Linked DNA regions of Ovis aries. The protein of the gene in region 7 purifies or fractionates together with the protein of the main gene of each other region. This does not show direct contact. Links are inferred from orthologs where the notes say so. Each region holds a gene or a part of one and is shown on either strand. Other genes may lie near its edges.

Region 1 (3,500 bases), on a different chromosome or scaffold from region 7:
GCTTGATTCAGAGATGGGCATGTGAAGCAAGCCAGGCCAACGAGCATCAGCACTGGGACTCGATGCATCAGCTGGCACAGGGGTGCTCTCTTTCTCTGCAGTGCTAACCTGGGAGATGCAACCCTGGAGCCACTGATGTAGCAGCATCTTGCCGCTTTCTATGGAAATGCAAGCTGGGAACAAAGCCAACACAGATGAAACCAGAGGCAAGTGCAAGACTCCTGACGACCTGGATCTGCATTCAGCTGGGCCAGAAGTTAGCAGCCCTCAGCCTTTCTGACTACTGGCGCCAAATCTCTCCTGCTTGAGCCCTTTAGAGTTAGGATTTAAGTCACCTGTAAAGACAATCCTGGCTAATGTAAAGTAAGGTCAATATAGTAGCCCAATTATGAGGCTGGTAAGGTTCCAACAGGGTCCTGCAGGGAGAGCCCCCCAGCCCAGGAGCTGCTCAACACTCCTCAACGCTGAAGAGTCAGGCTTGCCCTCCCAGCACCCCCGCCAGCTGCCAGCCCCACTCACGCCGGTGATTTTCTTCTTGCACTTGGCACAACTGGGTGCATAGCGCACATCGTAGCAGGGTGGGCAGAAGATGGCCCCCTTCTCCTCGAAGAAGCCACCCTCTTCCAGAACCTTCCCACACTGGCTGCACACAAACTCCTCAGGGTGGTACGCGTGGCCCAGCGCCACCAGGTAGCGGCCCCTGCAGGCGAAAGAGAGGGCAATGAGTGGGAGTGGGTGCAAATGAAGTCGGGGTTCCTGGCCAGCACCCCACAGGGTTTACCCCACACCCATTATGAAACCTTGAAGGGAACATTCATTCTCTTCATCTCCAAACAGGGAAGCTGCTGCTGCTGCTGCTAAGTCGCTTCAGTCGTGTCCGACTCTGTGCGACCCCATAGACAGCAGCCCACCAGTCTCCCCCATCCCTGGAATTCTCCAGGCAAGAACACTGGAGTGGGTTGCCATTTTCTTCTCCAATGCATGAAAGTGAAAAGTGAAAGTGAAGTTGCTCAGTTATGTCCAACTCGTAGTGACCCCATGGACTGCAGCCTACCAGGCTCCTCCATCCATGGGATTTTCCAGGCAAGAGTACTGGAGTGGAGTGCCACTGCCTTCTCCAAAGAGGGAACAGACAGGCTTGAAAGGTGACTTGCCTAAGATCAAACAGCAAGACAAAGCTGACTATTGTGGGACTTCCCTGGTGGTGCAATGGTTAACAATTTGCCTCCCAAGACAGGGGACACGGGTTCAATCCCTAGTTGAGGAACTAACATCCCACATGCCTCCGGGCGACTGAGCTCATGTGCCACAATTAGAGAGCACGTGCATTGCGACTAAGGTTCCACGTGCTGCAACTAAGATCAGAGGCACCCAAATAAATATTTTAAAAAGCTGCACTGTTTTGATGACAGGAGGTGAGGGAGAAGGGTAGTGTCAGGAAAGGGAGGAAGGTGACACTGGGTGAAGACTGCTGACTTGAGCCTAATAAGTTGAACCCAAGGGGTTGGTGTCCTGGGGGACAGCAGGCCTGGAGTACCTGCGAGCCCTGAAGACCAGTGGGTACTTGAGCTGAGCCTGGTGCCCACTCTGTTCCGCTGGCCTGTTCCATCCATGCTGGAGAGGGACCCGGCCATCCCAGATAAATGGGGATGTCTGAACGAGGGGGTGCTTTCCAGAGCTTAAGAGCTGACAGGAGTTGACAGCAGGGCAGTGCCTCGTATGAGAACTAGGAAGGTTCTGGGGCCTGACACAGATCCGATTCTGGGGGCTGTGGGACTCTGCTGGGCCCTGGGGAGCAGCGCAGAGAGGGAGGAACTTGAGAGGCTTAGCAGAGAGAAACCAAGTGAGCAGGAAGGAGAAAGGCAGAGGGGCTGGGAGCAGGGAGGCCATTCCTGGCCCAGAGAGCAGCGAGTCTAGGGCTGCAGCTTGGCTATGTCGTTGGCAACCCCTCCATTTTGCCAGGCCAAATGTTGAAGAGAGGCTGAGCAGGGGGCAGCTGAGATGAGTAGGGAGACAGATGGGAGGAGCAGTGGTCAGAAAGGGCTGGAGTTCCAGTTCAGGAAAAGACCAGGGTAGGAAGGAACGGGGCCACCCACCGGATGACCTTGTGGCACTGGTGGCACACGGGAGTCTTGCCGTTGCTGCCCCCGCCCCCGCCATGGCCCCCTCCAGCGGCGGCCTGCACGATGGAGGTGCGGTTCTGCATAGGCGTGGGTGTGGCTGGCTGGGTGTGCCGGGTCAGCACCGTGCTGGTCTTGTCCGGGGCATAGCGCTCAGCAAATGCAGGGTCCACAGCCCAGGGTGGGCGGCTCGTGGGACTGGGGGTGGTAGGGCCTGCCAAGGCCAGGAAAAGTGGCTCCATGGGGGTGCCCAGGGACACCACAGGACAGTGGGGAGAGCCTGGGGCAGCTTGGAGGGGCCCGACCCCCATGCCTCTGGAGGTTACCCGCCCTTCCCCATCAAGCCCACGCTCTCTCACCAGGCCAGGGTTCCTGGGGTGTAGCTGAGGCTGGGGTTGGGGCTTCCGTCCTGGGCACCTGGCTGTAAGATCTGTCATTCAAGGCCCTGCACGGCCGAGGCTCCTGGCATGGCCCCACCCCCCAAACTTGGTCCTGCTGGCCCCATGAGAGATGCCTGGGTGCATGACAGCAGAGGACTCCAGGTCCCCCCAGGGCAGGGATGGGTAGGGCAATTTCTCCTGGCCAGGTTCCAGCTGGCTGGTCTGTCGCACAGGGCTGGGAGGTGAAGCAGGGCTCTCACTTCTGGGGCCGCTCGCGAGGGTCCTTCTGATGGCAGGGGGCCCTTTGCTGAGTACCCCCACCCACTGAGACCCATACTGGCAGGGCCCACACTGGATCTGAACCATCTAACACCCCTGACCCCAAATGCAAACCAAGTCCACAAAGATAAGAGAACAGAGGCAGAGAAAGCAGGGCTGAGAATGTTTATTTTCATGCCCCAAAAGCCAGCACAGACCTGGCAGACAGCAGTACCACAGGGCAAAGAGTAAAGGCAGTGGTGTCAGATGGAGCCGGGCCCTGTGCCAGGAGGGCAGCTGGGGCCAGGACAGCAGGAGGCTCAGTCCAGGGGCAGAAAAAGGATGGGTGAGGCAGGCAGAAGCTGGAGGCGCCAAGGGGAGGTGCCCTGGGGCGGAGGAACAGCAAGAAAGAGGCAGAGAGGGCAGCCGGCTGGTGAGGACCAGGCTACGACTGCACGTTGAGCACATGGGCAGAGCGCTGGTGGTGCCAGTCCCGGAGGCGGGTGTAGCGTGGGCTCTGCAGCTCCAGGACATACTTTTCCCTGAGGGGTAGAGAGAGAAGGAGAAGGAAGTGGAAGGAAGGAGAGACGGAAGGGAGGCAGGGAGGGAGGACCAGAGGAAGGAAGGAGAACGGATGAACCTGGCTAGGGATGGCCAGGAGCAGACAGGGCTGGAATGGGAGAGGCCGGAGATGAGAAGGAGGGGCTGCAGCTTGACCTGTTACCTTGATTTCTTCAGGTGC
Region 2 (3,500 bases), about 51 Mb from region 7:
CCTGCAATGCAGGAGACCTGAGTTCAATCTCTGGGTTGGGAAGATCCCCTGGAGGAGGGCATGGCCACCCACTCCAGTATTCTTGCCTGGAGAATCCCCATGGACAGAGGAGTGTGGCAGGCTACAGGCCATGGAGTCAGAGTCAGGCACGACTGTTTCTATAACTCAAATACACCCCCAAGTGGTCAAGCAGAAATAAAATGCATCCCTACCACTCCATTAACAGAAAGGAGCTGATCTCCTCGCTTGAGGCCCCCATGTCTATCAGCAATTCCACCTGGAATTATTCGAGAGATGTAGATTGGAGAGTTCTGTTCTTTGCCTCCCATAATATTGAATCCAAGGCCTTCTTCTGTTTTTGGTAGCTCAACAACTCGAGGATGAGAATGCCCTTCGCTGGCAGCAAATGCAGCAACGGTAGCCTGAAAGAAAATTTTACACGTATTTAAAAAAATACTTCACTCTTTTGTCCCTTTTTAAAAACCACTTTTTCTTCTTTTTTTAAATTATGAGGGTATGGTAACCTCATAACTTACAGCAGATTTGAAAAATACAGAACCAAGTTACATACAGTCCCACTGCATTTTTAAGTAGATTTTCAGTTGGAGTTTCAATATCAAACTCTCAAAAATTAATACAATGATAGAAAAGAAGGAGATAGTAGACCTGAAAAGCACTATGAATGGATTCAACATAAGATTTATACAATTTTCACACAATTGCATAATACAAATTCTACTCAAGTTCCCATAGACTATAAACCAGTAGACAACTGAAACATATCCAGGGACATAAAACAAAATAGAATAATTTCATGGTCTAAAGGTACTGAAATCATAAGAGTGTGTTCTCTTATCACTGTGGAATCAGTGATACTGATAATTAGAAATCAGTATCAAATTAAAAACCATTTTTGAAGTATTTTTGATGTCTGAATGTCCATAAATTCACTGACAGTGAAGGTAAGCTAAGTAGATGGTGTTTTTAAGAGGATGACTGGAAAGCTTACTCTGGGATTATGCAGAAAGTGCTGAGGTAGTTCAGGTCACTCCTGGTCCTTCCTGTGCCCAGAACTTCTGTGCAGTGCTTGGCAAGCAGGCCTTGCCAGGAAGATGAACGCTGTGCACACTAACAAGGAGAAGCCCCTCTCCTCACATGCCACCAACTGTGGGGCATTTGGGGCGGCACAACCCATGTGCGTAACCTAAACGTAGGCAGGTGTCCTTTTATGCAGTCATTCTGGCTGCTGTACTATTTGCTCTGTATATTAACCCATACAGAGCCACATCTTTCAAGTTTAGACTAATTCAGAGGAATTCTAACACAAAGTTGAGAACTCGGGTTTCATTTTGCTTTTAAATGTAATCTGGTACTATTTCTTTGTGTATTAAATCAGGGTATATGAGAAACATGGGAAGAAAGAGAGAAAATCAAGATTTGCTGAATACTCTAAACTCTTAAACAGGCTTCATTTTAGAGATAATGGAACAAAGGCTCACAAGTTCAGGAGGCTGTGAAAGTCAGGAATTAAACCCAAGGGTTTTTTTGTTTTTTGTTTTTTTCATTTTTTAAATTTTAGTATCTTTAATTCTTACATGCGTTCCCAAACATGAACCCCCCTCCCACCTCCCTCCCCATAACATCTCTCTGGGTCATCCCCATGCACCAGCCCCAAGCATGCTGCATCCTGCGTCAGACATAGACTGGCGATTTTTAATTGTTCTTTCCCACTCTGTCAAACAATACCCACAAGACTCAACAGAGAATCCAATGTTGCCTTTTGTGAACCAGTTAACCATCAATGAATAGTTACCTGCTAATGACTAGTTTCAGTATGAGTCACCTGCTACTGACAGAAACTTATTCCAACCCACATATGATGAGATGGCTAGAAAGCATCATCGCTTCAAAGGACATGAATCTGAGTAAACTCCACTCAAAGGACATGAATCTGAGTAAACTCCAGGAGATAAAGGAGGACAGAGAAGCCTGGTATGCTGTAGTCCATGGGGTTGTAAAGAGTCAGACACAACTTAATGACTGAACCACCACCACCACATATGATGGACAGAGATCAATGCTTGATTTGAGGAAAACACTGGTACAGAAAAACACATAAAAGCTGCCACCTGTAGCTCTGAGGAGTTAACCTCCTATTTGAAGAGTTAAGGTTAAGGAGAAAGTGAATGGCAACATAGGGGAGTACCTCAGATCTACCATTTACTATTTGTGTGATCTAAAGCAAGTAATCTAATTTGATGCTTCCTCACCAATAAAATGAGACTAATAATCCATACCTCAGAATTTTGATGAATATTTAAATAATGATATATATATTACCTACAGCAACCACATATTATATATATGTATTATTTGTGTGCAAATATATTTTAATGTATCATCTAGATTGCATAACAGAGAAGGCAATGGCAACCCACTCCAGTGCTCTTGCCTGGAAAATCCCATGGACAGAGGAGCCTGGTGGGCTGCAGTCCATGGAGTCGCTAAGAGTCAGACACGACTGAGCGACTTCACTTTCACTTTTCACTTTCATGCACTGGAGAAGGAAATGGCAACCCACTCCACTGTTCTTCCCTGGAGAACCCCAGGGACAGGGGAGCCTGGTGGGCTGCCGTCTATGGGGTCGCACTGAGTCAGACACGACTGAAGCGACTTAGCAGTAGCAGCAGACTGCATAAAATGTGTTTGTAAAGCCAATTAAAAAATCCTACTTTTCAGTAATCGAGTTTAGTGTAACTTGAAAGGTACTATTTGTTAGTTTTTAAAATAAGTCTATTATGAAACTAATAACGTCACATTTTAAACCTCTAATTTGTGATGAATCCTCTCACTTTCAGTAAATGAAAAAAATGTACCTTTGCAGTTGCATTAGCTCTCACTTCAGGACTGCTACTGATGTCCACAGTCTCGTAGACATGTTCATATACCTGCAAAACCCAAAGTTATCACTGTGATTTTAAATCTCAAAATATAACAAGCTTGAGTTCTTTTTAAAGTTAACAAATGTGTCAAAATTTCAGAAAAAGTTATGCATCTTTGTACCATGTTTTTCTGTTAGAAATTCCAAAAATGAGAGGAGTGGGTTCTAAAGTTAACTTTAAGAAACTACAAACCCAAATTTCAGAATGTTATCTTACCCTAAATAACGCAAGTTCATAGTCAATTTTAATCACATTTACTTACCTCTCTTACAGCATTGCAGAATTCACTCTGAAGGACTCTTTGTAGAGCCTGAAGTTTCTGTGGTGGTACCTCTCCACTTCTTTGCAGTTTTTCCAACAATTCAATTGCTCTACAAATATCTAGAGTTAAACAAACACACACTGATAGATAATTTTCTCTAAATGCCTCTGTAACAGTGCAGCATTTAGGATTTATTCCTCAATGGCTAACTAGAAATATAAGAACACAGAGGAAAAAAAAGCCTAAGAGTATGAACTTGTGTGTGGGGGGGTTCATGTATGGAGGGTGGGAATGTA
Region 3 (4,029 bases), on a different chromosome or scaffold from region 7:
TGGGCTTAGGCTCAAGTCCCCAAGGCAGGAAATTTTATGACCGCAAAAGGCCTCTTAAGACTAGGGTACACATATGCTGTTTTAAGTGAGGGGACAGTTCTTTCAGGGTAGGTTCAGTTAATCAGGTCCTAAGGTGGGGGAGGTGTCTCTCATGAACCCGAGGCAAAGTCAAACTCATGATGGGAGATGCAGAACCCTATTCCAGAGGGACTCTATCCATGCCCCAAGGGAAAGGTCTCAGGGCTCAATTCTGGTCCTGGGAGACCTCCTGCTCCCAAGGAGTGCCTTAAGTTCCTTGAGGGGGAAGCGTGGACCTCATCTCTAGAGACATGCCAGTTAGTGAGGTATGTATGCATCTCTTATCCTTGAGGGAAAGCGCAAGAATCCTTGGCACAGTGGGTCTCAGATGCCCAAAGAGAATACTCAGACCAGTCCCTGAGTAGTAAAGTCCCCTAGAGACCTTTGAGGAGGATATCAATTTCCTGAAGAGGGCTTCAGACCTAAAAGCCCAGTCTATAAGCAGGGGGAATCCTAGGCTCCAGTATACAAAACAGTGAGTCTCATTTTCTTGAAGAAAGGTTTAAGCTTGGGGGAGGCGTGTCCAGCCCTTAAAAAAAGCTTAAGCTCCTAGAGAAAGATTCAGACTCTTGTCTCCAAGGAGGTCTCAGATCCCTTAGAGAAAGCACAGACCCCTGTCACTTAGAAAGGGATGAATCTCATGTACCCTAGTAGAGTTTTTGGTCCCAGGGTGTTGGTTTTGATCCTAGTACTCAAGTGGAAAGAGATCATAGGAGAATATGTATGTGTGTGTGTGTGTGTGTGTGTGTGTGTGTGTGTGAGGTCCCTGACTTCTAGAAAAGGGAGTCTCAGACTCCACTGCTGCATGGTCCTGTGCTGTATCCCCCTGAGGAGGAGAAAGGGTTGTCCTATATAGTGTCTCAGACCCCTGAAAAGGATTTAGGTATCCTGGGGACACTCGTATCTCTGAGGTAGCCACCTTACTTGTATTCCCAGGAGGAGGAATCTTAAGAATCTCATTCCAGGGGAAAAGAAATTTCAAGTCACCAAACACAAACCAAGGTCCTTTGGAGAGTCACGAGACTCTCCTTGCCTGTCTCTCCTGGGGAGTGCCTACCTACTGGCCCTACACGATGAGGCCCCAGGGCCCACAATCAACTATGGGTCCTAGAAGAGACCACAGACTCCATCTTTAAATCCTCCATCTTATCTGGGGCCGCTAATCCCAAATCCCTGGGGGGGGGGGGGGGGGCGGGGTGGGAGAGTATATCGCAACCCCATCACCAGGGAAGAGTGCCAGACTCAAGAGAAAAGACATAGGCCCCTTGGAGCAGGCTCAAACAGCCTTCCTTGGGTTCCTAGCCAGTCTAGGGATCCCGTCCACCACACTCACTCACCTCCCCCATCCCAATGCCCATACCTGCTCGACGGTGGCGGGGTCCATGGCCTCTATACGCGCTGCAGCCGCTTCATATTCATCCTCACTGTTGTAACCTGCGCCGACCTCCTCACGCTCAGGACTGCCCCCGCCAACCGCACCAACCCCGGGGGCCTGACGCCGCCGCTTGCTGTGACCCGGCCCTGAGCAGCAGCCGCCCACACCCACGGCACCGCCCACGCCCACCACCACACCCGCCGCGCCCACGCCCGTCGCTGCTGTACCCAACGCATCACCAGGACCGCCGCCGGGACCTCCGGGGCCCCCGCAAGGAGGTGGAGAGGCCTGCTGTGGCCGAGGACCCGCCACGGCGCCAGGCGGCACGGCCAGCGCCCAGCGGTGAAGCGCACCCGGTGGCCCTGGAAGAGGGCCTTGAGGCGGTGGCGAAGCCCGGGGACGGGCCCCCACGACGCCCGAGTCACGGTCGCGGTCGCCGCCGCCCACACCCGTGCCGCCGCCGCCCACGCCTACACCCCCGCCGCGGCGAGGCGCCGGGGGCAGCGGTCCGGGCGGCGGCGGCTCGTTGGCGGGGTCGCCGTCGGGAGGCGGCGGCTTCTTTTTGGGGAGAATAGTCATGGCGGCACCGCCGAGTAGCCCCCAGCAAACCCGCCGCGGGGGACGCTGGGAGAGGACCCGGATGGGGTGGGGGGGGCTACAGTGGTGCGCGAAGGACGACGGGATCGCCGGGACCCGGATAAAGAGCTCGCTGCACCGGTTCTCGAACCGTCGGCGGAACGCGGGTCACGCGGCAGGAGAACCCGGATGTGAAGTCCAAGATTAAGGCACCGCGGCGAGCTTGTCGTAGCCTCTCCAAGTCCAACAACTTTATTGCTACGCTCGTTCCGGCCTACGGCTTCAAAGGAAACAGAACCAAAACAAGCACCTCTTCGCCCCGCCCCCTCGCAGGTTCTTGAACTACCGGGTGGGGCCTGGAACGTTGCGCAGGCGCGCCGGGGCACAGCCCCGCCTCTTGTTCGGAAGTACGTGGGCAAAATCTTCGCCGCCGCCACAACAATTGCGAGCACCAACCAATCGAAGCGGTTGCGTGGGTGTTCGATGATGACCACGGGCCAATCAGAAGCGGACGTCGCCCTCCCCTGCCCTCCGTCTCAGATTTCAGTCAAAGTCGGCACCCTTGTTCCTTGCCTTTCCCTTCACTGGTTCCGTCCGGCTCTTCTTTCCCCGAGGCTCTGGCTCGCAGGCGCGGGCACTGCGACAGAATAGCGTGGCTTGCCCACGCACAAGTTTAAAGTCGCCTCCCTTCCAGGCTTTTAAGTTGGCCGAAGTCAGCCGGACTGACTGCAAAAATATCAACACTCCCAGAGCTTAGCTAGCCCTTGAAGCGTCAATTCCGGTTCCACCCACCTACAAATTCACATCCGGTGGAGAGGCGGGCGCCGCCTCACCCTGGCAACAGGCCGAGTTCCGCGGTGATTGGTTAAGAGATGCCACCACTCAAGTCGGACGGGCCAACCTTGGGACAGACATGCATCGTGGGGACAAGTGGGTGTTTGGGAAGCAAACACGCCCTCTCTGGCATCCGCGTACACTCGCCCTCGCGTTGACCTCCCCGCCTCCGTGGCTAGCGCGCAGGCGCGGCACATAATTTTTTTTCTTTTTTTTCCCCCTCCTCTGAAACTGTTTACCTGAATCGAGCAATGTTTATAAACCAGCTCGGTCACCAGCCAGCGTCTTTACTGCAGGAATTTTACCTGCTACTGAACGAATGGAGAACTACAAGCTAATCCTAGCTGTGCCTCTTCAATCTGGGTGATCTCTGACAAGTCATTTAATACCCACCCCATCCTTAATTTCTACTTCTCTGTAAATGGCAATGATAATCCCAATTTAAGATAAAAGGTTAATCCTTGCAAAGGGTTTGGTGCAATGCCTGGCACATCACTAATTAGTCTGTACTGTGGTGCAATGGAAAGGACCCCAACCTTTTGAGTCAGGAAGACCTCAGTTCCAGGCACATGTGGACCATTACCACTGTATGACCTTGAGGAAGTCAGTGTCTCAAATTTGAGGTTGCTGCTGCTGCTGCTGCTGCTGCTAAGTCGCTTTAGTCATGTCCAACTCTGTGCGACCCCATAGACAGCAGCCCACCAGGCTCCCCCGTCCATGGGACTCTCCAGGCAAGAACACTGGAGTGGGTTGTCATTTCCTTCTCCAATGCATGAAAGTGAAAAGTGAAAGTGAAGTCGCTCACCCATGTGTAAAACAGGAATGATAACGCCTTCCCAGACTACCTCTAGTTATGGGGGTGAGTTGAGCTCATGAACGAAGAAAGTGTTGTGAGATGCGAGGGCTCCTTGCCAGTGTTAGGAGCCAAGCCATATAATAGGCCATCATATAACTCTCTTCAGTGCCACCTAACCTTCTCCCTTCAGATGCCAACCCTAGTTAAAGGTCTTCCCTGAAAGGTGTCAGTAATAAAGACTATAATAGTATTTTCTGCTTATGAGACTAAATTGGAGGAGAAGACTCACGTTTACTGAGCTTCTTGTGTTTAGGGCACTGTGCCAAATGCCTATGCAAATTATCACACTGAATCTTCTCATGACCATCTC
Region 4 (4,160 bases), on a different chromosome or scaffold from region 7:
GATCTTCCCAACCCAGGGATCGAACCCAGGTTTCCTGCACTGCAGGTGGATTCTTTACCATCTGAGCCACCAGGGAAGCCCACGATCTTGTTGAGATGAGTATAAATGATTATTTAAAAAAATCCCCAACAACTGTAAATGATATGAAAATAACTACTACTGATGACAAAAACTGCAGTTACTGTTAATGTGCCTTTGCTTTGGGGCTTCCATTCGTAACTGTAGAAAGTAATGAATTGTAACCGAAGTCCAGGGAAGACAGGAATCTTTTCTCATTGAAACTCATGGACCTCTTGAATTCTATGTGCCATCCCACAGACTCCAGGTTAAGAGCCCCTGTATTAATGGGGAGTTCACGAGATCAGCCAGCCACCCAAACGTTAGGATGAAATGAAAAGACGCTCTGGGGGAGATAAGGCTTCTCAAACAGGAGGCCTCGTCTACTCCTCCATCCTCAACTTTCTGCCACTTCTGTGGTGAGCTCCAATTTGGCACCCACCATGCCATGGGCACAGCTCCATCAGGTGGCACCCACCCCAGCACAGCAATGTTTACCAGTCATCACCCCTTTAACCAAATTGGGAGCTCCCAGAAATGGAGTCTGTCCTTGTGCCCCTGGTACTTAACGCCTAGAACCTAACCGGTATTCAGTGAGTGTTTACTAAGCGATAAGTGTTGGGTAGTGAGCTAGGTGGTCCTGAGAATGATACTAAGATGACGATGCCAACCCCTGTCATATTGTTGGAGCCTGTCAGGTTCCTCTGTCCATGTAATTTCCCAGGCAAGAATACTGGAGTGGGTTCCCGTTTCCTTCTTCAGGGGATCTTCCTGACCCAGGGATCAAACCTGCATCTCTCAGGTCTCCTGCATTGGCAGACAGGTTCTTTACCACTAGTGCCACCTGAGAACTCCCAGATGGATCAGGATCTGTTTATTGGACTTTAACCTTTATTTTTCATTGCTCGTTATTATAATCATATATAATAACCTGCCTCCGGGCACCCTGCCCCTCTGCCTTAAGTGATTAACACATACATCCCCTCTCTAAGGGCTTCCCTGGTGGCTCAGATGGTAAAGAATCTGCCTGCAGTGCCGGGGACCTGGGTTCGATCCCTGGGTCAGGAAGACCCCCTGGAGAAGGAAATGGCAACCCCTGGAAAATCCCATGGATGGAGGAGCCCAGCAGGCTACAGTCCATGGGGTTGCAGAGTTGGACACGACCAAGCAACTTCAGTTTCTTTCTTTCCCCTCCCTATGGTTGGCCATTTCAGGAGAGATTTGCAAGAACATGATCTTTCCTTTCTCACCTCCTTCCCCTTTGTGTCCTATAAAAGAAGCTGGCATCCAGACCCCAACAAGACAGCTGATTTTAAGACAACAGTCTGCCATTTTCTCAGTCAGTTGACTTCCCAAATAATAAAGTTAGTATTCCTTGCTTCAATTAGCCTGTCGGGCAGTAAGCAGATTGAGCTGGGATTTGGTAACAATATTATGAAATGAGATAGCCCAAGTACACACTGATACCCATTCCCCTACACCACCTAACTACTGCGAATGCAGCAATACCACCTAGTCATTCCTAAAATACCTACTGCCTCACCGGTGGAGGGAAAATCAAGCTATCTTGACCATGAGCACTAAGCTTGGACAACAGCTTTACCTTAGGGTGGGGAGGACAGGAAGGGTGGGAACTAGAATTACACAAACAGACGGGAGCTTTGGGAAGCTGGAAGTGGCAGGAATCTCTCTGCCTGGGAGGGGTCTTCAGACACACCACCTCACTCCAACACCCCTCCTGGCCTGCTCGGAAGCCTCAGGGACCACTGGAGGGAATCTTGAATCTATTAATAAGCCCAGATGAGAATCACTAGGAACCACTCTTACTCAAACCGGATAGCTACAGAGACGACGTTCTGTGAACTGGGAAAGTTTGGGGGAAAATGTTAAACCATAACGTAAGACAAAAGTGAACGCACTGTACTGAAATGACATCGACTTACATAGTTTTGCATAATTAATTAAAAAAAAAAGAGTGAGTGGGTGTTGAAATGATAGCCAAAAACCGATTAAAAAAAAAAATCCAAATCGTCACTTGCCAGTCGCCACCGTCAATGTAGGACAAGGTAGGTCAAAACCAGACTTAGCTTCAAAAAACAAGGTAGGTCAAAACCAGACTAGCTTCAAAAAACCACGAGTCAGTTTCCTTCCCGAAGCGTATGGTAATAAACCCAGAACTAAGGCTAGAAGCGGCTCCCTATTTTCACAAAGTAAAAGGCCCCACCGGCTTCAGACCGTATTTCCCGGGCTTTTCCTGCAAGATCAGCAAAACCTGACGGAAGAAGGGTCCACCCGGCGGGCTTGTCCCGCGATAGCAGCTGTGCCCGCAGGCCCCGCGCTGGCTGGGAGCGGTCGGCCAGGCCCACGGCTCCGGGCCGGCCCTCCCCCCACCCTCCTCGGACGCGCGAAGGCCCGGCCGCGCACAAAGCGCCCCCTCCGCCCGCACCTGCACCATGAAGGCCATCCGGATCGAGTCCTTGGGGATGCTCTCTTTGCATTTCTTGCAAGACGCGCGCCCGCTCTTGGCGTACTCGACCCGATAGAGCTTGTCTGAAGACTCCGCCATTCTCCTGCCGCTTACAGCTCCGGGAGCCCGACGCCGCGATCTGGAGACCCGCTGCTGCTACTGCCACCTCACCCACCGATCCGCTACCCGCAGGCGGCCAGGCGCCTTGAACCGCCGCCACCGCCTCCGAACACGCCGCGCAGGCCACCCGCCGCTCCGGATAGATTGCTGATGCCTGGCGGCTGGCACGCCCCGGCGCCCGTGCGCAGGGGCGGGGCCGCCGGCGCGCGCTCGCCCCCTACCGGCCGCGGGTGGGGGCGGTAGTTCCCCGGCGCCCGCGGCTGCGCGACCATCCTCCGGGATGCTGGAGGCAAGAGGCGGGGCAGACCCCTCGCCTGCAGCTCTGGGAAGGACGGGGTGCCAGTCCTTTCACCATTTGTCTCCTTTAACTGTTTGTCCCCAGGAAGGCTTAAGTGTCCTCACAGCTGATTCCACCCTTGTCGCTTCTTAATGCATGTGTCCCCTCTCCCCTGAGGGCGGCCAGATCTGGACTGGCTGGGGAAAGTCCTTTGGCAGCCGAAGGACCTGGGCAGGCCCTCGCCTGGGCTTGACTACAGTCCGCGGACCACTGGGACCGAATACTAACTGAAGTCTAGCATCGCCTTCATCTGAATTTTAATGCATGGATACAAATTTCGGGAGTCTCATCAATCGTTATCACAGCACTTTCATGTCACTTTACAGTTGCTGGGTACAAATTGGCACTTACCAAGAGCATTGCCAATGACAACAAAGGCATTTGCCGTCTGCCTCTACAGAGATTGAACCCCATGCTGCTAAAGCTGTTGACCTTCAACAACCCTGAGGGAGTTCAGGGTGGAGTGAGGCACTCTGTGCTCCAGGGAATCTGATGGGACAGGTCTTTAGATAGTTGGATGTGTTTAGGAACAGATTTTATGATCTCAGTCCTTGCATCTCCTCACATCTAGAGAAGCACTAAATCCCTTTATGGTGACATCAGATCCTCATGACTAACAAAAACCTTTTGTAAAATGAGTGTTTCATCGCAGTGAACTCCCCCTTCACCAAAATCTTATATATTGACTTTTTCCCCCCACTGCTGCTTTGGAGCAGTCTCTCAGAGATATCTGAGATCCTGCCTCCCAGGCTGCAGTCCCCATTTTTCCCCAAATAAAACTTAACTCACAACTCTCAAGTTGTACATCTTTTTTTAGTCAACAGGGAGAACTCAGTATTAAGCACATCAGTGCTTAAATTTCAGTCACTGAAAGACCTCCCACCCTACTAAGTCACTTCAGTCGTGTCCGACTCTGTGCGACCCCACAGACAGCAGCCCACCAGGCTCCCCCGTCCCTGGGATTCTCCAGGCAAGAGTATTGGAGTGGGGTGCCATCGCCTTGGGTCTCGTTATTTAATGTAGAACTGTATATACCTGGTTTCTTTTTCAATTCTATGCATTTTGTTTTATTCATCTAAAACATGATTATAATGGAATATGCTCTGTTTGAGAATATTCCATTCTGTAGAGGAAAATAAACAGAATGAATGAAACAAAACTTGTTAAACATACAGTAAG
Region 5 (3,500 bases), on a different chromosome or scaffold from region 7:
CTCTGTGACTGGTTTAAAGGTAAGTTTGTTATATTACTGGTAGATTTTGCCAGGCTCTCCCAACAGAGTAGAAGTGATTTGGCCTTGTAGCTTAATGGTGGTATTACCTTAAACATTCCAGTTTTGAAAAAGATGGAACTGGAATTTAGTACAACTCCTGTCGGTATGTTGGTTAAAATATGAAAGAGGCAGGAGTTTGAATGGTTGAATGGGATTCCCTTAGGATTTTACAGCTGATGCTTTCTCTGCATGTCCCAAGCATCATTAATCCTCTTTTACTCTGTTGGGATGAGTCTTTTTTGTTCCTGTTCAGAGTGGTTACTAACTTAGTCTTCTCTCCTCTTGCTGTCATCTGCATTCGTGCTTCCCACCTGTTGTTGGCATGTCCTTTACCTTCTCTTTCCCTGCCACATCAACCTACACACTGACTCATCGTTGGCTTTGAAGATGTGGAAGATGTCAAGTTTGTGATCAACTATGACTATCCAAACAGCTCAGAGGATTATGTGCACCGTATTGGCCGAACAGCCCGTAGCACCAACAAGGGCACTGCCTACACCTTCTTTACCCCAGGGAACCTAAAGCAGGCCCGAGAGTTGATCAAAGTGCTAGAAGAGGCTAATCAGGCTATCAATCCAAAATTGATGCAGCTGGTGGACCACAGAGGAGGCGGCGGAGGAGGGGGTAAGGGTAAGTCCTGGAGTTTTCCAGGTACTGCCAAGGTATCTTTTTTTGTGTTCATTGTGCCTTGTTTGTTAATCCAGTGGAGGTTAATGTTAACGTTGCTTAATAGTTCATAATCTCTTTTGAGTAAGACAGAGGTCTGAGCGACTGTCATAGCCTTAGGTAGTATGTTGTAGTATGTTAAGTTTTGAGTTATCCATATGGAGAAATCAGTAATGTTACATGGGCAAAGGTACTGCATCTGAATTGGACAGTTGTGAAATATACTAGCTAGGGTCTGTGTTTCATGCCCTTTCCCTCAGCTTAATATATGTTGAAGCTCTACATCAAGATTCCCTTAGAAGTTTTTAAAAGTACAGACTTTTTTAAGTGGGCTTGGAATTGAACTAGGAACCTGAACTTTTCAAAACCCTAAAGCTTGAGAGATTACTCTGATGCAGTAAATGTCTGGAAAGTAACATTTGAGAACCAGTGTGCACTAGTAGAGGATTCCTTTGTTGTCATATGAACCTAGCTGCTTGGGGCTTTTTTGTTTTTAAATCATCCTTACCATTTTCCCTACATTTTTAAGAGTGTGTTTCTTGGTAATCCTCAAAAAAAAAGGCAAAAGATGAAAAGTTGACTATCCTTTAATGTTTACCATTCTTTGAAGGTATCTTCTTAAAGAATCAAATTATATTTTTAAAGTAGTTATTTGGAAGCTGACTTAGCTAAAGATCAAGAAAGAACTGTATCTAGTAACATTTTTACATGTGGTTGTGTTTGGATCATATATCTGGCGTTGAAAATTCTTGTGTCTTCATCAGGCGGCCGTTCTCGATACCGGACCACTTCTTCAGCCAACAATCCCAATTTGATGTATCAGGATGAGTGTGACCGGAGGCTTCGAGGAGTCAAAGATGGTGGCCGGAGAGACTCTGCAAGCTATCGGGATCGTGGTGAAACCGATAGAGCCGGTTATGCTAACGGCAGTGGCTATGGAAGTCCAAATTCTGCCTTTGGAGCACAAGCAGGCCAATACACCTATGGTCAAGGCACCTATGGGGCAGCTGCTTATGGCACCAGTGGTTACACAGCCCAAGAATATGGCGCTGGCACTTACGGGGCCAGTAGCACCACCTCAACTGGGAGAAGTTCACAGAGCTCTAGCCAGCAGTTTAGTGGGATAGGCCGGTCTGGGCAGCAGCCACAGCCACTGATGTCACAGCAGTTTGCACAGCCTCCAGGAGCTACTAATATGATAGGTTACATGGGGCAGACTGCCTACCAGTACCCACCCCCTCCTCCTCCTCCCCCTCCTTCACGGAAATGAAGCCACTCAAGTGGTAGTGACTTGTGCAGACTTAACTACATTTAAAGGAACGCTATCTTTTCCTATTTTTCTCTTCCCTTTTTCTTTCTCTTTTATAACTTTTTCCCCCAACCATTGTGATTTGTCTTTAATGCAGATTAGTTAGGATTCACTGCCAGGTTTCTTCTGCCTGCCAAAATGATCCAGTCTGTAATAACAGATTTTGTAAAAGTATATATATGTATGTATAGCCGACTGGAAGAGGTTTTCCCCCCAACTTCTTGCATGTTGAGGATATTTGAGCTATTTTTCATCTTAAAAGAAAAAGTAAGGTATTAGGCCCTTTTGTGGGAGCCCCCCCCCTTTTTTTTTTTGGTCCTGAGTTTGGGTGGGGGTGGAGGGTTGAACTCTGCAGAAGATGGCACCTGTGCTTTAAATTGCTCTCGTACTGGGATAGAAAACCGAGAGGGAGTTCCCTACACATTTTCTGTATTTTTTTTTCCTTTGGTCTTTTTCAAGCTGGAACAAGGTTCCTTAGGCCTGATGAGTTTTTAAGACCACGCTTTGCCATTGTCATTTTGGCTGATTGCTTAAGTGCATTTGATAGTTTAAAGAAAAATCCTAATTGGCTTTGTCTCCTTTACATTCTGCCTTCCCCCTTCCCAAGTACTGAAACAACTTTCTAATTGTCAGGTTAGAAATTAAATTGCTGAGATAAGAGGTTTTTTTAAAGTGTATCCTTAAAAACCCAAATGTTTATTGCAGTGGTTAAATGCAGTGTCTCAGCATCTGGGTGGGAGCTGCCTGTTTTTCTTCCCCATGACCAGGGACCATCTGAAATACATCCTCCTAACCAGACAGCTGCTGTGAGCAGAATGAACATAGATGCTCACTGGAAATTTATTAACCAGTTAAATATGCATTCACCTGCAGTGTAAGAACTACGTTTAAATAAATGATATAGTCAGTGGGCAAATTTTTTCTTTTTAAACCCAGTATTTGTAGAGGTAGAGTAACAGCAACCCTATTGGCTACTCAGCCCTTTTGGCCAAGTTATCTTGAAGGTCTAAAGGGTTTATTGAGAAAGAACTCTTCTGTCTTCACACTGTTCTCTTCAGTGCTTTGTAACAGCTTTTGGATGCAAATTTTCCTCAGCATCCTTTCTCACTCAGCTTTTTACAGGTAGGTAGTGCTTAAGAAAAGTTAGAGGACTAAAGCCCAAGTCCTTTTACTTTACCTCCACCTGAAAGGTAGGTGAGATTGTCCCTTTTGTAGTAATACCAACTGTTTTACTGAGACTCCTATAGCAGATGGGCCTGGAAAGAAATTTCTGTTCTTGTGTTCTCTGTAAAGAGGACAAGGAAATCAGACAGCCTCAGAAATCCCTTCATGTCCAGTGTGGGACTGTTAATTTTTTATTGGTGTTATCAGTATTGATGGTGTAGTTAAGGGGGAAGGCTTCATTGCATTCTTTGGCTTAGGCCTGAGAGTGCTTACTAGTTTGTAAGATCAAAATATCTAAATC
Region 6 (4,049 bases), on a different chromosome or scaffold from region 7:
AGATTCAAGGACAGCTTTTCATCCTCTGAAAAAGCACAAGTTAAAAAAGCACAAGAAAAATGCCACAAGAACCCTTGTTTTTTCTACTGCCAGTTGTAGTGTCTCCACAGAAAACAGCACGAGGCACAATGTTCTACTTGTTCCAACAGTGTCCACTAAGCCAAGATGTCTTACATCCTCAAAACACAATTAAAAAAAAAAAATATGTGAACCACTCCACTTTCTGGGCTTAAAAATCACCTCCAATAATGTGCATATATCACCCAAATAGTGGATGAGTAGAAAGCAATTGGAGAAGGCAATGGCAACCCACTCCAGTACTCTTGCCTGGAAAATCCCATGAGCGGAGAAGCCTGGTAGGCTGCAGTCCATGGGGTTGCGAAGAGTCAGACATGACTGAACAACTTCACTTTCACTGGAGAAGGAAATGGCAACCCACTCCAGTGTTCTTGCCTGGAGAATCCCAGGGACGGAGGAGCCTGGTGGGCTGCCATCCATCTCTGGGGTCGCACAGAGTTGGACACAACTGAAGCGACTTAGCAGCAGCAGCAGCAGAAAGCAATTTCGTTTTCATAAAGAATAACATGAAGTGAAGTGAAGTTGCTCAGTAGTGTCCGACTCTTTGCGACCTCATGGACTGTAGCCTAACTGGCTCCTCTGTCCATGGGATTTTCCAGGCAATAGTACTGGAGTGGGTTGCCATTTCCTTCTCCAGGGCATCTTCCTGACCCAGGGATCAAACCCAGGTCTCCCGCATTGTAGACAGACGCTTTACCGTCTGAGCCATAACGTAGTTGTCCCTTGTGCCTTGTTTCATTCTGTACAGTAATGCCTGAAGATTTGCGTTCAAATGCCATAAAATGGAATTGTAACCACTTTGGTATTTGTTTCAAACATCAAAATCCAGTATGCTTAGAAAGTAAACCAGTCATAGCACAGGTTACATTGCAAACAATTGTCACCACACAGCAACATCAGTTTTTAACTTCTGTAACCTACATCATGCCAAGAATCACAGAATGGTTGCCTTAATTGCTCATGAATAGCCAGGAAGAGAACCTCTCTGGTGGCTGTCATAAGGAGAGATGTTATGTTAAATATTAGCTGACACATATGAAAAGTTCAACTAATGATAGTATTTTTTTTGTTCTAAAGCTAAAATTGATTAACACATGTTCAGGAAACTACACATACAGAAAGTTCTTTGTTGTGCAAATCCTGAAAGAAAGGGGTACAAGAGAAAAAGAATGGGAAATCTGGACAAAGGGAAAGCCAGAGAACCACCGGATCCCAGGGCATTTTAGAAGTAAATGTCTGTCTACTTTTACAATGCAACTTTCTCTTCTAAATGGCTCTCACTTTCACACTGCTTACTATATTCTTAAGAGAAAAACGAAATAACCAACAACATTTTTAAATGAAATTAAGCAAACTTTTACTAGTATTAACAAAACTATGGGAAGGGTGATAGTTTGATAGTGACCTGTGTGGGAACTTGAGGATGAAGTCAGTGAGCTGCATGCATTTGAAAGGCATAGCTTGTCTCCTTACTTGAGTGCAAGGTCCATCCACCAAAGCCTAGAAGACATAAGATCAAGGATCTCAGTATAAAAATGTAACAGCATTCAAAATGCAGATATCCTACATAATATTAGTCTTTTCAGAATCATCAAATTCTTATATTTAAATGCTTTCTTAAAGGTTAAAAAGAGTTAGCAGTGATAGTTAAGCATAGAACCCAACACATAGTTTTGTCTTTAATACTTCCATTTCCCAAAAACTATCTGCTCAATCCCTTAGTTTGTGGTGCTCAAATAGTGACAATAGGAAACAAGGGCTTTCTATGTGAAAGAAAAGGCTTTCTATGGCTTTGTTCCAAACTCGCTTTGAACATAATAAATGATTTACATCTCGCCCATGTTTTAGCCCACCTTTAGTTTAAAACTGCCTAGTTAGAAGTATTACTCAAACCCAGTAGTAACAGGTCAATTCAAGCCTCTGCTATGTAACCCCTATTTGCGGTGGCTGTTTAAGTAAAACTACCACCCATAGTACTCCTATCTTAAGAGGGCCGCTGAAACCATTACCATTGTCGTCTACACTGCCACGTAAAGCCGTGACACTTTTCCTTACACTTACCCTGTTCTGATCAATAACATCTACAATCGCGACCAGCTTCCCGGCATGAGGCCCAAAGGAGACGTAGGCCACCCGGCCAACCTCTACGAAGCGCCTGAACACCTAAAATTGGGAGGCGGGGGGAGAGAACAGCGAGACTGATTAAAAATACGATCCAGTTTGCCAGTCTTTGCAATTTAAACATAGTGCGGCTAAAAACAGGAAAAAAGAATGTTGAGGAGAACACGCCGAAGTGCCATGGAACAACCAGGATGGACGAAATCCACAGAGGAAACGGTAGCAAGTCAGTCTCCCGCTGGCCTCCCCGTCTAAGAAGCCAGCACGGCCAGACCACCATGCCCTGTCCTGCTTCGGCCCCGGCGGGCGGGCTAGGCGACCGGCCGCCGCAACGAGACAGCGGAGGCGGCCAGAGCGCGCACGCGTGGCCCAGCGAGCGCCCGGCCTGCCGGGCCCTCCACGCGCTCCGCGGACGCGCATCCTGAAAGCTCCCAACTCCTGTGTCTTGCCCACCCGGGGAACCTCACTGCACTATACCTAAGATCCACTGAGCGCCGCTGCTCGCCTCCAACCCCCAGCCCAGGCAAAGCTGGAGCGGCATAGCGGTCAGACATGGAGCCCGCGCCGGCGATACTCACCATGTTGGCGGCGTTCGGCGAGAAGGAAGAAGGCCCGCCCAACCCTGCGCCTGTGTAGAAGGCCGCCCCGCCCCGGTAGTGAAAGGGTCGCCGACGTGGGCACCGATTGGTTGGGACGTACGCACGTATGCGCACACATGCTCACCGGGAAAACATGGCGGAGTCTGCTGGAGCTCTGCTATGCTTTCGCGGTTGGGTTTCGTGGGCTTGGCTTAGTCGACACCGCGCGTGAGCAGCTGTCTCTTAAGACTTCAAGGTGCAGAAGGGCACAGAAACTGTGCTTTCTTTTGTGACTGTTTGCAGTCCTTTTGACTTCATCTTTTAACATTCTTCCATCTTTTCTTCACTACTCGTCTAAATGTTGCTGATGTCTTAGTACAATTTTTTTCTCTCCGTAAGTGACCCCATTAATTTTATTAACCTTTCTTCTTAAAAGAATTCAAACTTTACAGAAAAGTTACAAAACAAGTATAAGTAATTCCCGTTTTCACTTCGAGTTCCCAAATGTTAACATTTTCCTATTGCTTAATAATTTTTTTGATCCATTTGCGAGGAAACTGCAGACATGATGTTCCTTTACACTTAAATGTGATGTTTCCTAGAAACAAGGGCATGACTTTACATAATCAGTACAATACTCAAATTCAGTAAGTTAATAATAGTCATATATCTGTATAATAGTCACATATACATGTGTATGCATATGTATATACACACACACTTATATATACACATGTATGTATATATGTATGATTTTGGCTGTGCCTCAAGCCTTGCAGGATCCTAGTTCTCAGACCAAGGGTCCAGACTCTTGACCTAGAGTGAAAGCCCAGAATCCTCACCATTGGATCACCAGGGAATTCCCACGTAATTTATTAATTTGCACTCCTTATTTAACTATTAGCAATTGTTCCATTTATGTTATTCCCAGCAAATGAAAAAAGCCTTCCGGGCCTATGATCTTGTGAAGGGTTACAACCTGCATTTAGTTATGTCTGGTCTTTTAAAATCTGTAATAAACCTACCCTTGTCCTTCATATTACTGACATTTAAAAATACAGGCCAGTTGTTTCATAGGTCTCAAGTATATGCTCTGTAATTTCATTTATAGAAAATTCAAATCAGGCAAACTACGTTAGTAGTCACTTTTACCCCTGGTGCAGGAAGTAGTGGCTTGGAGGGGGAAGCGGAGTTTTTGAGCTGCTGGTGCGTTTCTTCATCTGGGTGTTGGTTACACGAGTGTGTTCAGCTTGTGAACATTCAAATCTCTGCCTT
Region 7 (2,635 bases):
CAAAACTAAGGCAAAGGTACTCTTCCAAAGCTAAAGGGGATAATAAAGCCATTTCTTGTTTACTTCTTTCAAATTCAGCAGATAATATCCACTGTGTGCCCAGAGGGCATACAAGACTCCTGGAGGCACTATCCATAAGAACAGCCCTTTCTAGAACACTAAACCACCACCAACTGCACACTACCCCAACCGGATTTAAACTATTTGTGAAATATAAACTACTAGTCTTGTATTCTAAATGCATACATTCATAGCTACCATTTTAAAATAAATTGGAAAGTAGGGAAAACTAAAAAAAAAAAGATACATTCTGCTATCACACTATTATAAACATTATTAAGTGTGTGTGGGTATATATAAAGAGAGCTGATTACCAAGATTTAAATAAGATGGTAAAAAAACCCAGGACATGTAGATTTACCAAAGGAACTATAATAGCTGTCCCGAGCTACAAGTATAAACAGATGCACTACAATGGTAATTTGCCTTAGATTCTGAGGAAAAAAGAAAAAAACAAAACAAAACCCCTAAGACAATAAAAATTCCGATGAAGACCAAAAAAAAAAAAAGAAAAACAAACAAAAACCCCACAATAAAACCCACCAAAATCTATACTAGAGTATGTGGCAATAATTAATATATTTCTATGGAAATTATCTCAAGCCTTAGAAGCTCCTAAAATAAAATCAAGGTCACTATGTGACTAATGATAGCACTAGGAGGAAAAAAAACCCACTGAAAGTAAAACAGTCTTCAGCCTTGGTTTCAGCTAGCTCTTCAAATCAGTCTAAGTACTAAACATCAGATACAACATTTTTGGCTTGTTAGACCAGTAAGTCATGTTTTCCCACTGGCCAAAGGCAGCTGAAGAACAGTTGCTTGAACAAACTAAATGCTGTGACATGAAGCATTTGACTTCCAAGTCTGAGTATTTAGTTAAAACGATTGGTGAACATCTAACTGGGCAAAAGGAATGGCATCCATCATCCAAACAGGCTCACTTTCCCCAGCCCCCAAAACAAACAGTAGTTATAATAGCAAAAGAAACAAAAGTTTGTTTTTGATTCCTTAGAGCCAACTATGGAAGAGGTCAGCAATATATTAACAGCAGCAATGGACAAGAAGAGCAAAATAGTGGATGAAAGAATCCTGCTGGACGTTTGTTCATCTTTTTCTGTATTAGCCAGAAGACTGCCCCTGGCTTAACTGGAAATTTCAGGTATAGGTCTTATCTCCTTAGATCCTTCACAGATTTAGAATTCAGTCTACCTGAGGGCTCTATAACCATGTAAGAAAGCTTTCTTTATCTAGCTTGGTGGCGGCCAAAACAGACTCCATGTCGTTGAGGATGTCGGAGCTCAACGCTTCTTGCAGGCTCGGCATCAGCTCCTCCCCTTCTATGTTCATCCCATCTCCCTCCAGGGTTCCGAGGTCCACGTTTGTCCCAGGAATGGCTTCAAGATAGTCTGGGAAACGGTTCTGCTGGGAGGGCAGGGTGCTTTGGTTGATAGTGTCACCTAGATGGACCAGAGAGAGACAGAAAGAAAACAGGTCCCTTTGAAAAGCTGACATCGTGACACACGTAGGGAAAGAAACGCATTCCTGATGGACTTCCTCCACTGATGCCCACAGTTTACTTTAGGCCAAACAACCTACAGAGAGCAAAGTAACAATGCCAAGTCTCCTTCAGCTTCATGTGTTCAGATACTGAACAAGTCTGACTGCTTATTCCTGCGTGGTCAGCACTGAAGAGGGTCCTGGGAAGAAATTCGCTGAAACATTATATACTCAAGAGAGAGAGGACAGATAGGACACAACTGTATCAGTACTTTTCGTCGAAACATTATATACAGCGAGAGAGAGCGAGCGCAGGTGTGACTCAACAGCGTCAGTACCCGACTGCTCCAGGCGTGCACCGCCACAGTAAGGGAAAACAAAGATGCATGGGTATGCCTGTCTTTCTCGCAAGTACACACTGGGGAACAGAATAAAATAAAAAGGCTGCATGAAACTCTATCCCACTCTCAGGAGATTCACATTCACAATAGTAAAACCACGCCTCCCAGAAGTCCTTGGAAAAGTAAGTCTTCCTAGCTTTCTTTGCTTACTGGTCTCCCAAACTTACCTGGCCAAGAAACCTTTTTTGCCCATGATGACGTTAACATTCATGAACACTTCCATGGACTAGGCTTTCAGAAAAACTAACATAAACCATTAATTGTTATAAAAGTTTAGAGAGAAGGGAGAAACGGGGGAGAGAGGAATAAGGAAAGGTGTTATGAATGAGATGGGTTTGAGGTGACTCGTACGGATGACTTAAGATCCAGATGAGGAGAGGGTGGTGTGGATTCCCAGGGACACCGACGCCACGGGCTGGATGCACACCAGCACAGAAGCCCCGCCAAACGCTCCCAGAAGCGGCAAGCTGACGGGCCAGCGAGCTGGAGAGCCTTTTCACTGCCCAGCCAGCTCATGCCCTCTGACAGCTGCCAAGTCCAGGTCAAAGGGTAAGCCACAGGAGCACCACTCCTGTGGGGGAGGTTTTCAAGCTCCTGCAACTCTTCCAATAAAGGATGTAAGGCCACCACCTAACCTTTCCAATCTGCCAACCTGAGGCCCGCATCACTTAAGCTGG

The links.
Region 1: the proteins of YAP1 (region 7) and PDLIM7 purify together in Homo sapiens (affinity purification with mass spectrometry; 3 studies listed by BioGRID and IntAct, with this or other methods). This does not show direct contact. The link is inferred for Ovis aries from reciprocal best matches to the Homo sapiens genes YAP1 and PDLIM7.
Region 2: the proteins of YAP1 (region 7) and LIN7C purify together in Homo sapiens (affinity purification with mass spectrometry; 5 studies listed by BioGRID and IntAct, with this or other methods). This does not show direct contact. The link is inferred for Ovis aries from reciprocal best matches to the Homo sapiens genes YAP1 and LIN7C.
Region 3: the proteins of YAP1 (region 7) and OTUD5 purify together in Homo sapiens (affinity purification with western blotting; 3 studies listed by BioGRID). This does not show direct contact. The link is inferred for Ovis aries from reciprocal best matches to the Homo sapiens genes YAP1 and OTUD5.
Region 4: the proteins of YAP1 (region 7) and PARP1 purify together in Homo sapiens (affinity purification with mass spectrometry, with the first as the bait; 3 studies listed by BioGRID). This does not show direct contact. The link is inferred for Ovis aries from reciprocal best matches to the Homo sapiens genes YAP1 and PARP1.
Region 5: the proteins of YAP1 (region 7) and DDX17 purify together in Homo sapiens (affinity purification with mass spectrometry; 3 studies listed by BioGRID and IntAct, with this or other methods). This does not show direct contact. The link is inferred for Ovis aries from reciprocal best matches to the Homo sapiens genes YAP1 and DDX17.
Region 6: the proteins of YAP1 (region 7) and RPL14 purify together in Homo sapiens (affinity purification with mass spectrometry, with the first as the bait; 3 studies listed by BioGRID). This does not show direct contact. The link is inferred for Ovis aries from reciprocal best matches to the Homo sapiens genes YAP1 and RPL14.

What each region holds. Positions count from the first base shown.
Region 1 is NC_056058.1:36,691,315-36,694,814, forward strand, and holds part of PDLIM7 (PDZ and LIM domain protein 7), read right to left. Parts: coding exon 3,483-3,500; intron 3,301-3,482; coding exon of another isoform or gene 3,204-3,300; exon of another isoform or gene 2,930-3,203; intron 2,551-2,929; coding exon 2,480-2,550; intron 2,335-2,479; coding exon 2,097-2,334; intron 701-2,096; coding exon 520-700; intron 1-519. UniProt on the Homo sapiens protein: May function as a scaffold on which the coordinated assembly of proteins can occur. May play a role as an adapter that, via its PDZ domain, localizes LIM-binding proteins to actin filaments of both skeletal muscle and nonmuscle tissues.
Region 2 is NC_056068.1:56,971,575-56,975,074, forward strand, and holds part of LIN7C (protein lin-7 homolog C), read right to left. Parts: intron 3,324-3,500; coding exon 3,205-3,323; intron 2,949-3,204; coding exon 2,877-2,948; intron 423-2,876; coding exon 213-422; intron 1-212. UniProt on the Homo sapiens protein: Plays a role in establishing and maintaining the asymmetric distribution of channels and receptors at the plasma membrane of polarized cells.
Region 3 is NC_056080.1:56,126,274-56,130,302, reverse strand, and holds the start of OTUD5 (OTU domain-containing protein 5), read right to left. Parts: upstream 2,801-4,029; 5' UTR 2,033-2,800; coding exon 1,439-2,032; intron 1-1,438. UniProt on the Homo sapiens protein: Deubiquitinating enzyme that functions as a negative regulator of the innate immune system. Has peptidase activity towards 'Lys-48'- and 'Lys-63'-linked polyubiquitin chains. Can also cleave 'Lys-11'-linked ubiquitin chains (in vitro).
Region 4 is NC_056065.1:28,697,306-28,701,465, forward strand, and holds the start of PARP1 (poly [ADP-ribose] polymerase 1), read right to left. Parts: upstream 2,801-4,160; 5' UTR 2,624-2,800; coding exon 2,504-2,623; intron 1-2,503. UniProt on the Homo sapiens protein: Poly-ADP-ribosyltransferase that mediates poly-ADP-ribosylation of proteins and plays a key role in DNA repair.
Region 5 is NC_056056.1:215,991,139-215,994,638, reverse strand, and holds part of DDX17 (probable ATP-dependent RNA helicase DDX17), read left to right. Parts: intron 1-447; coding exon 448-690; intron 691-1,490; coding exon 1,491-1,996; 3' UTR 1,997-3,500. UniProt on the Homo sapiens protein: As an RNA helicase, unwinds RNA and alters RNA structures through ATP binding and hydrolysis.
Region 6 is NC_056072.1:13,302,206-13,306,254, reverse strand, and holds the start of RPL14 (large ribosomal subunit protein eL14), read right to left. Parts: upstream 2,801-4,049; 5' UTR 2,778-2,800; coding exon 2,775-2,777; intron 2,242-2,774; coding exon 2,140-2,241; intron 1,579-2,139; coding exon 1,484-1,578; intron 1-1,483.
Region 7 is NC_056068.1:6,197,526-6,200,160, forward strand, and holds part of YAP1 (transcriptional coactivator YAP1), read right to left. Parts: intron 1,518-2,635; coding exon 1,279-1,517; 3' UTR 1-1,278. UniProt on the Homo sapiens protein: Transcriptional regulator with dual roles as a coactivator and corepressor. Critical downstream regulatory target in the Hippo signaling pathway, crucial for organ size control and tumor suppression by restricting proliferation and promoting apoptosis.